Arabidopsis thaliana: one gene and its partners. The protein of the gene in region 3 interacts with the protein of the main gene of each other region in a pairwise test. Each region holds a gene or a part of one and is shown on either strand. Other genes may lie near its edges. The genes, in order: GDU4, GDU5 and LOG2.

Region 1 (3,510 bases), on a different chromosome or scaffold from region 3:
CAAGTAATCGAATTATCTTTTGATTTATACCATAATATGTGTTTCCAATTTTTGTTTAATGAAAAAAAGAATATGATTCCTTTTCTTGTGACAAGACTAACTCACGCACATATTTTCGAATATTACGAATGTAAGTTCATAGTTAATAGTAATACTATTTCCAGTTTATTCACTCGTTATATAACAAGTATAGTTAAACAAGTATAGTTAAAATTTGACGGTGAACTAGATGGAGTCTCAATTAATTTAAAATATCCAAGTTGATAGCAAATTCAGAACTATCCTATGGTAAATAAAATATATAAATGCAAGGAAAATATGAAAGTAACACAAATACATGGAGGAGACACAATTATAACAATTCATAATTAAAGTAACTAAACGAATCTCCTTACAAAATATAAAATGTGAGAATATATACGTAATACAAAAGGGTTAATGCATTACATTAGTTTCTGAAAATGTATATAAAATTACAGTTTGTGTACGGGATGAATCACGTTTCCATCGAAACATTGCAAGCTTTGAATTTATGATCAATAGTGTTATGATACTTTTTTTTTTTTTTTTGGGCAAACATAGTGTTATGATACTATGATTCATTTTTTTGTAGATCTTAGTGATGACATAAAATTGTAAGAATTTTAAGTACTATTATGTTATTCCGTTTTAGTTTACTCTATTACTGATTGGTATTAAAGCTGTATGAGAAAGGTTACCTATCACACTTTTGAGAATTACAAAAACTAAAAACGAGTTTTCCACCATTGGGGATAGGAAATTACAAGCAAACATTCATTAATCATAACCCAAAATTTTCTCTCAGTAAATTTTACATTTCCCGTGAAAACACGAAGGAAAATTCCCCAACAAAAAAAAAAAGACAAGACTGAGAGAAGAAAAGAAAACAAAAAAGCTCACTGACTCGTTGTTTCTTCATTTTCTTTGGCTTTCTCTCTGTCTCCCATTTTCTCCTCTCCAGCACCAATACCATCCTCCTTGAAAATTACCATTCTACCCTCGTGACCGCACATGCATTTGTTCGCCGCCGGCGTGGCCAGAAACCTCGGCAAGTCATCTCCGGCCATTATGACAAGAACCTTCTCCTCGCACGCCGCGCTAGCCGCCTTCACTCCAGACCGACTCTCTTTTTCCTCGTCGACTCTTTCGCCGGAGTCATCACCGGAGGTTGACAAGCGCCAGTAAGAGCAGGCTAGGATAAGTAAAGCGAAGGCTATGAGGCCTAACATCGCCGCAAGACCACCGAATAGGTACGGCACCGGTGAGTGCCACGGCGATATCGGCGGTCGGTGATTCCCAAATGATTCTACTGATGTGGCATGTCTAGCTACATCTAACGATGTTGGTTTAATGCTCAATGGCCTCATTTTTTTTATGTTTCTTCTGTTTCTCTCAGATTTTTTCTAACTATTTTGTTTTTTTTGTTTTTCTAACTTTATATAAAGGAAAAAGTGAAGAAAGCTGGAAAGATGAATGAAACAATGGGTGTGGTGAGGTGTTATATTTATAGGTAAGAAGTCCCTGGGGAAAAAGAAAGTGAGTCACTCCGAATATTTAATTATTTGAATTAAAGCAGCTTTTTTTTTCATTTGCCGTTTATTACTTTTTAGTTTTGCCGCATATATTTGCATGCAATATTATGTACTCAAACTTACTTTGTTATAGACACATATATATGTTAAGGTGCTTGTTTTTTTAAAGAAAGATAGCGAACATTAATTACACAAATTTAAACTAGACACGATAAATTAAATTTTAGTATCTTTAAGAAACTACACTAAAAAAAACTTGAAAAATGCCTACAAGAACTACCGCAGATTGGTTTAAAATTTTTGCTTAACGGTTGTTGAAAAATATATAAATGGTGATTTTTAAAATCAAAAAAAGGATATCAATCATAATATTTACCAATAAATTTGAAACCATATGAACTTTGACATCAATCAACTACACAAACTACAATAATTGGGTATTAGACTTATAAGTCTTATATCCAATAATATGTCAGTGATAGCATGATATCGAGAAAGTTTTTGGAAAGACAAGGGGTTTCCTCTTGATGACTCTAAGATACTTTAAGCCAAATAGATCAATTTAGATAGATGAATAGTTTGGTTTCTGGAAGTGACAGAGGAATGAGAGTGAGAGATGGATTCCAAGACCCCTTACTCTCAGTTCTAATTTATGGCACGATATCTATCTTCTTGTGAGGACACACTATGATGCCTAATGGGGATTTTATTTTTTTGGGATCCCGCAAATTGGGAATCCAACTTCTCTCTTTCTTTTTGGATGAAGAAATTTTCTATCTCTCAATTTTTCTATATCTAAAAGTATTATAAAGTCTATCACTTAATATTTGTCATGTTATAGGTTTTAAATGGTAACACATTCTCAAAGCGATATAACTTGTACTATTTTGAGAGTTATCATTCGCAAAAATTAACTTTATCAAAAACATTACAAAAAGTTTTACTCTTAACTTTACTGTACAGCTTTCTCGTATAATTCTTTTGTACAACTTTGCACTATTCCAAAAAAAGTTTTGGTTATAGCTAACAGCTAAAATTTTGTACAGTTTTGTGTTACCAATCGGACTTATATAAAATAAAATAATCTCGAGTAGTCCAAACACAATTTTCAACTTAACATATCACCAAACTTTGCTTGAATTCAATAATTCTCCTTTTTTTTTTGCAAAGTAAATTATTTAATGTTTTACAATAATAATGAATATTAAAATCTGCACCATAACACATGGCTTAAAAAAAATCATGACTTAATATCGGTAGAATATTGTTAGTCATTATTGTTTAGAAAAACATATTTAGGGCAATAAAGATTTGGAATTGTTAGTTATAAAAGACTAACAAATTCAAAAATTTATTACCCTAAATATATATTTTGAATTATTTTAATTATTACAAATAAATTGATTTGATATTAAAATATATATGTTTTTGATTAATTGTTATTAATTTAAGAAAGTTAATTTAGTAATTTTACATATTAAAAATATATTTTTAAAAGAAAAATAAAGAAAAAAAATTTCAAAAGTGCAAATAAAAGTCATATGTGGGATTTTTTTTTTTTTTTTTTTCCAATTGTTACTATCACACCAACTACCGTGCACCAGGTGCACTACCTCAATAATCCATAAAGCTGTCATCATATTAAAATGTAGTGATCAGGTGCAAATTTGTGCCCCAAATGTTATAAACTTTTTCTTTTCTTTTTGTTAAAAGAATTAAGTTTATATTTTTTCACAGGTTCCATTTTAAAGGACCATGTCTGTTTTTCAAACTAAATTCTTACAAATATATAAGAAAGCATATTTTGGAATCATCTATGTATTCACATTGCGAACTAAAGAAGAGAAAAACTTAATACTTATTTTCTGTTACCCTTGAAACATAGGCGTTTATACCATTAAAATGGCAGAAAAATTATATCGACTAATGAAATTAAACTAGTTAAATGAAGTCCAGT
Region 2 (2,993 bases), on a different chromosome or scaffold from region 3:
CAGAATTCTTTCGATAATTTATGAAGTAAACTCTCAAATTTCGGATATTACAACACATATGAATAAAAACATTACTCATAACTCATAAGTGAGTAAGAAAAATAACATAATCCAAGAATAAGAGCTAATCCATCTTATGGTTCACTAGACATAGTTTATTCATTTAGAGATTGTAGATATATGGTTTATATTAATGTTCAAATATTAATCTAACAATTTTGGCAATCGACATGATTAAAAAATGAAATATATTCTCTTCCAACTATGGATACAAATAAAATCTATGGATTGTTGTTGTGGAATATTAAAAAGTAAACCCATATATAATTTACTGTTAACGGCAAACATCATTATCCAAATAGCACCATCGAAAAGACACATATCCCTGGCTTAGCGTAATAACAAATGGCCATGTGAAATTCATGGGCCCGAATAAAACACAAAGCTGGGCCCTCTTAATATTCCTAAATCCAAATAATCATATAATTATGTTTTCTGTTTGTCTCTCCCAAATATGATGTCGATAAAATTATAAGGGTTCGAATAGTTGCGCCAGTTAGGACGAACCAATTCATTTCCAATTCATTTCCGGTTTATACTACTTTTCTTTAGTATTTATGAACTATAATTTGTTGTCGTGTAAAAAATAGAACAAGTATGCGGCAAACTAACTATAGATTGTTTTTACGTAGAAAAAAAGCTTGATTTACATCAGTTTATTGTCCGTTCCAAAAATAGAAAACATTTCTCTGCTTTTTTTTATTGCAATCATTCAAAACCTAAATTTATAATCATTTATAACACCAAGAACATATATAAATCATCTTCACTCATAAAACATAAACAAACTACTCTACTTACAATATGCATAACCTCCACTAAATATATATGCATCCACAATTTACAAAATCATCATGTGGAAATTATCTCATACTTTAGTGTAATGGTTTTAACTGTTATATCACTTATAAGAAATCAGCTTAAAATTACTCGTATATGGGGCTTGTAGACTACCTTAAACTCCAAAAAACTAGATTTTGAAGCTCTAAATTGATCAATTAAGATGTATAGTTGGCCACTCTTTCAGCTGATCGATCATGTATATATGAAACAAATCTACAACGAATAAGTAAAACAATATTGCTTGTTTTTCAAGACGCAATGGAATTCAAGAGATCAGTCAATTCTACTAATAAATAATTTTCTAAATAAACATGATAATTTATCTATTTTTGTAGTTGTCTTTTGTCAACAAATGTCATCTTCATAAATGATTTCTTTATCCAAAAAATCACAAATTCATTGCCATAAATAACATGGTAAGATCACATATTAAGTTGAACAAAAAAGGGATCACATTTTCAAATATCTACCTCATATTTTTTTTTGTTATAATTTCTGACACGAGGAGATTATGGAACTGTCTTTAACAAATAAAAAAAGGGATTACGGAATTGAGATCTTAAAGTTTGATTATCCAAAAAGGATTTTATAAACAAAAAAATCAAGGTATATATCTAAATGCAAAAACGTATGATTAAATATCTTCGAACCTGGTGCATGATCAAAGCAACGTAACGTATCATGAAGATTCCGTGACCCACTTACCTTCAATTTTGTTTTATAATAATATTGTGAAATATTTATTACATCTCTTCCCTCTATTGTTCTCTTCCAGTACTATAAATAAAATGTCAAACCACTCCAACAAAATCAAACTAGCTACACAGTTATAAAAAAAAAGTATAAGCTTCACAATTTTCAAGCTTCTTCTCCTCTGTTCTTTAACAAATCCAAGAATAAGAAATATAAAACAATGAGGCAATTTCCAAGCATAAGAGGAAACATAAATGAGAAGATGATGACAACAATGGTGGAGTCTCAGACACGGTCTCCGTGGCGTACACCGGTTCCTTACCTATTCGGTGGTTTAGCCGCCATGCTTGGACTCATAGCCTTTGCTCTCTTGTTGCTCGCCTGCTCCTACTGGAGGCTCTCGCGGCAGACAGAAGATGAAGAGAAACAGACGGAGTCCGGTGAGAAAGTGGTGGCTAAGGCTTTTGAGGAGAAGATTCTTGTGATCATGGCTGGACAAAACAACCCTACCTTCTTAGCCACTCCGGTCGCGGCCAAGATTTGCCTGGATTGTGTTAATATGGAGAAGAAAGAAGGACAAAATGGGGAATCTAAAGTAACAGAAGAAAACCACTGACTACTGAGCTCTGTTCTCAAGAGTGTACTTTTTTGGATTCTCTGTTTTTGTCGGTTTGTTTTTTGTTTGTTGGGGAAGTAGTTTTCCTCTGTTTTTGTCGACCTTGAGATTGTAAATTTTCATTAGAGTAGTAAATGTGAACAAAAAAGTTGAGAAATTTCGGGTTTCTATGTATAAATGTTGGTATATGAATATATTTTGCTAAATTAAAGGTATCAATGTGTCATTGTTTTGATCATTAATATTTCCAAATTAGTTTTGAGAGTATATCTATATCCTGCTATAGCTTAAAGATTTACTTGTAAAACTAAGAAGTTTAGCTACATTTTCATGGCCGAGTGGTTAGCACTCTAAGTTAGAGGAGCATATATTTGGCCAAGACCAGGGGAGTGATTTCCGTTCTGAACGTGTGAGCCATCACTGTGTCTACGTGACTACTGAAGACATCTTTACTGGTCAAAACACTTGATTTTTATTGGGTCCAAAATAAATCAAAATGACCCAAGTTAGCAAACAAAAAAAACAAAAAAAAATATTGTGTGATGGGAAATATGTAAACAAATGGAAGTTGATTTTTAGTTTATTTTGTAAAAGTTACATAATTTTAGTCATTTTTTATAAAATTAGAATGTTATTTTATCGGAGAGCTTTTTTTCCGAAAAGTTTTCTCTCTATACCAGCTCTTTTTCTCCTGGTCATTTTTTTCGACAAAATTGTGGCTCCGACTAACGTTCGTGGACTTCCAAAGCCACGACGTTGGTTCGGCTTAAGTTTTTAGGTT
Region 3 (4,334 bases):
ATTTCAATTCTTTTTGAGATTATATCACAATGTCCCATTTTCTCGGCCTAAATTTGGTCCGTTTATTTGTCCTTATTATTATATTAAATACTTGTTTATTACAGCCTCGTATTTGTATGTTTTGTCTACGGCAAGCATTTTAAATTTAAACAAAGAGAGAGACACAGATATGAGATGATTTTTTGGATCTGTCTCTCTCTTTTTTGGGATCATTTTTTAACCAAACTACGAGTCACAGATATGAGATGATTGATGTTTTAACGAAGCTGTGAACCGAATTTTCCAAAACATTGAAATTACACAAGTATGATGAACCTATTGTTTACGAAACCGGAAAACTCGGGCTTAGGGCCCAATAGTAGAGGCGGATAAAAAGAAATGCAGGCCCATTTGACCACAAAACGTTGGAGATTGCCCCTTTTAAATAAGAAACGAAGGGGTCAGCTATATAATTGAATGTCATGTTGCCGCTACTATATCTCGTGTTTTCCATGTTTAAGTTTCTGTCTTATTGCAACTAAAATGGCTTCACCTGCCACTGCAACTTCCGGTTGAGCAACTAGCTAAGTAAGAAACTGCCTACTTTGTTGTTGTATCTAATGAAGAATGTTTCAAGTATTGTGTCATTATGACTCCAAATGATTTCGTAATCTCTATATTATGAATTGACAATCACACATTTTGTTGTTAACATACAAGGATCAAACATGCATATACTACTAATATTTCGATGGCATTTCAATCCATACTCGGCCGTGTTTAGCTACTCTTGTTCAACTGTTTCTCCCTGTCCGGTGTTATTCCCGCTTCCGTTGTTACCGTGAACTTTTATCTCCAAAAGCCTTTCAACAGGTTGCCTGCAAATGGGGCATCGATTTGTCTGAAACCTCAATACCTTAGCACATCCGCTACACATACACTGCACCACCAAACCCAAACAATTTTTAACATCTATATATATGTCCATCATCACATAATAGTAGTAAATCATCAGCTTTCACTTACCATATGTCGACATGGAAGAACAGTGGTGTCTCGTGGTTCAGACAAACATATAACACATTCTTTACCAGGATCATTAGCATCATCAGCTGAATCATCATCCCCCTCAACTGTATTCCCAATCCCATAAATCTCCTGCAACTCATATCTCGTTCCATTAACCCATAGTATCTGCTTCACCACTCTAATCTTAATCTCTCCTTTATCCTTCTCATAAACCGCTTGAGTAATCTGCGCATTCTTCGACCCCGACCTTTCTTCTTCTTCATTCTCACCACCTGAGGGAGCTGCTTCTGCCTTAACCGCTAATGGATAGATCTCTGTGTCTGCGGCCGCTTTGAACAGCTCAACGTCCTCAAAGACCGAAAAGTCTATACCAGAACCAGATGATTGTTTAAACTTCTGACCAAGTCCTTTCTCGAAATCTAGAGTGATAGGTGGCAGTATATCTTCCTTTGTCGCTGTGAGTTTGCAATCTTCGGATTCTTTAGCAAAGAAAATGACACTAATCCTATTTTTCACAAGTCCAACATAATAACATAAGCTTAATTCAATTACACATGAAGAAGATTTGATCAAATTGCAATAAGAAGATCCAAATTACATAGTCACGAGGAAGAACACAACAAAATTCACGTGTTATCTGCTCAAATGGATCACGAAATCAACGAAAGGGAGAAAGTGAAATCTACCTTCCGGAGACGGTTGCATCAAACGTAAAGGAGACGAGAAAGCGACCCGGATTATCCGGGTCGGGTTCAAGCCTAAGAGACTCCTTCTTGAGATTAACGTCGTTACGAATCGTGACGGCTTTCTGGTGTTCAACGTAAGGAGTCGGTTGAGCCATCATGTGACCAGCATAAGGGTATCTGGCCATCGCCACGGGAGCCCAAGAGTGGTTGTGGTAAGGATGCGGTGGATGATGTTGGAGGTGGTGGTCGTACGGCGGAAGAGGCATGGCTCCCGGGGGAGGATGGTGGTAGTAAGAAGCAGGGTACTGGTAAACCGGATTAGGATTAGGATTAGGATAGGGAGTAACGGCAGCGAAAACGATGGGATTAGCTTGGATTTCTGTAGGTAGAGGTGGTGGAGGAAGAGAAGAAGAAGGAGGAGGAGGAGGTGGTGGTGGAGCCGCCGTATGGTTTCGCCGTCGACGGCGTCTACCTTCACCACCGCTGCTGCTAATGTTTCCCATATGTTATTGGCGTTAAACCCAGATCAAAAAGACAAGATTTTTTGGTGACCCAAATGATCAAATCTCAGAAAATTGCTAAATTTGTGGGTGGATCGGAGATTCTGGGGATTAATATTGAGTGAAATGTAAGGAATTACGAAAAGCAAAAGCAGAGAGAGTTTAGATGAATTAAGAAAGAAAGAAAATAAAAAGAGAGAGAGAGAGATAAGAGAGAATAATTTAGGAGAAGAAAGTGGGTAATGATATGATGAATGGGGTCAGGTTGGCCAAGAAGCTCCACCCATGAACATAAAACACCTCCCACCCTCCTTCGATGGTGTTTATGTTCCCAAAAAGCTTTCTTTTTTTTTTCTTTGGACTTTTTTTCTCCTTGTTATTAATAATTACGTTGATTATAAGGAGTTTTGTCTTTTCAAAAAACAAAATTCAACACGAGTACTTAAAAGAGTTGAGGTGTGTTATATGACGACAAAAATATAGAAAGAAAGATGTTATCTTTTTAATTAGAAACACATTCCCATTAATTATTAGAGCATCTCCATTTGAAGTATCTCAATAAGATACCCAATAAAAAAAAAAAATAATTAAAGAAGAAAAAGTATGATAGAAGGAAAAAAAAGTAGAAGAGAAGGAGAGTTGAATTTCTCTTCCGAGAAACTTTGAGAAACTATTCTCATCCAATTTGGACAAGTGTCATCATACTATTAATTCAATTATTAAATAATAATTAATGTATCTGTTTTAATTAAAATATTATTTTTATTTTTTTTTAGAATCTTTCCTTGTTTTTACTGATAAAGATGGTCTTAAGATTTTTATTTAGGTCTACATTAGGATTAATTTGTTCATGCTTTAAAAAGATGATGTTATTTTCAGAAACCATTAATTGAGAAATCCAAATATTTTACAGAGTGAAGAAGTTGTCGATCATTGCATAGTTCTGTCTTCTGTGTGATTAAAGAGTTAAAAGTCACTTGTGCTGTCCGAAATGTATACTAGGCAATAGGCATTGTCTACTTTCCGCTTCTAGACTTATATTGCCTAAATATCTACTAGTAATTAGTGTGAAGTTTAATATGTATTCCTAACAAAGTAGGCTATACTTTATTTTTATTTTTAACCTATAATAAACCTACTTTTTGCCAACATAATATTCTTATATACAGTAGTCCGAAAAGATGAACTGGTATTTTGGAATTCATATTTAAACTTGTTTTGTCGTCTTTGAATAATTGTGTATAAGTTTAACCCAAAACACAAAACAAAACTGATGTATACTTTAATGTCTTAAAAATTAGTGTTTCTACAAAAGCATAAGCTCCGTTGACCAAAAAGAAAACATAAGCCCTAAAAGAGTTTTTATATTTTCAAAACCCTAAGCTAATTTTTTAAAAAATTTGTATGAATTTAGAGTCAAGAGATCACCATTAGCTAAAAAAAACGTCACAAAGAATAAAAATATATAAACATTCTTTCAAAGGAAGATATATATATATATATATATATATATTCAGTAGCCAGATTAAACTGTAACTATTGGATGTTTGATATTACGTGAAATTATATTACATGTTGATTTTGATCAAAATCAAATTATATTCGTGATCATATACAGATAGATATCATATTGAAACATTCCCATACGAAGGTAGTGGTGCGATTCGAAATCAAAAATAAATAAAGAGACATAATAGAATCGCATACCTAACCACTCGCACACACTTTCATTAAGCAATTCCAAAAGACGAACATATATAAACTAAGAAAAATAAATGGGAATCAATTATAAAATACTCTATATATAGTGGGAAACGGCAGACCGGATATATCATCAAGTTGGATACATATGTTGTGTAAAATCTGTAAAATCAATTGTATCAATTTATAGTTATGTAGACCTATGATCGTGACATATATATATATATAAAAACTAAACTTTGTTCTCTGTTGAATGTTGATGCATCTTTGTTATAATTTACAGGATAACAAATATGACGTCGAACGTAGCATCTTCTTGGAACACTAATGTAATATACATATGTCAAAGATTTTCTTAGGTTTGAGTCACTATGATTGAAATAGATCGAGCTCAGGTGTTTCTAAGAAGATATTTCGTTAATTAGTGAGTATGCTTAGA

What was found.
Region 1: the proteins of LOG2 (region 3) and GDU4 interact in a two-hybrid assay, tested with the Arabidopsis thaliana proteins (2 studies listed by BioGRID).
Region 2: the proteins of LOG2 (region 3) and GDU5 interact in a two-hybrid assay, tested with the Arabidopsis thaliana proteins (2 studies listed by BioGRID).

Annotation. Positions count from the first base shown.
Region 1 is NC_003071.7:10,557,357-10,560,866, reverse strand, and holds GDU4 (glutamine dumper 4), read right to left. Parts: upstream 1,695-3,510; 5' UTR 1,389-1,694; coding exon 918-1,388; 3' UTR 628-917; downstream 1-627. UniProt on the Arabidopsis thaliana protein: Probable subunit of an amino acid transporter involved in the regulation of the amino acid metabolism. Stimulates amino acid export by activating nonselective amino acid facilitators.
Region 2 is NC_003076.8:8,582,849-8,585,841, forward strand, and holds GDU5 (glutamine dumper 5), read left to right. Parts: upstream 1-1,686; 5' UTR 1,687-1,816; coding exon 1,817-2,212; 3' UTR 2,213-2,449; downstream 2,450-2,993. UniProt on the Arabidopsis thaliana protein: Probable subunit of an amino acid transporter involved in the regulation of the amino acid metabolism. Stimulates amino acid export by activating nonselective amino acid facilitators.
Region 3 is NC_003074.8:2,995,639-2,999,972, forward strand, and holds LOG2 (RING/U-box superfamily protein), read right to left. Parts: upstream 2,618-4,334; 5' UTR 2,198-2,617; coding exon 1,695-2,197; intron 1,514-1,694; coding exon 1,006-1,513; coding exon of another isoform or gene 991-1,005; exon of another isoform or gene 920-990; coding exon 764-919; 3' UTR 541-763; downstream 1-540. UniProt on the Arabidopsis thaliana protein: Acts as an E3 ubiquitin-protein ligase, or as part of E3 complex, which accepts ubiquitin from specific E2 ubiquitin-conjugating enzymes and then transfers it to substrates (in vitro).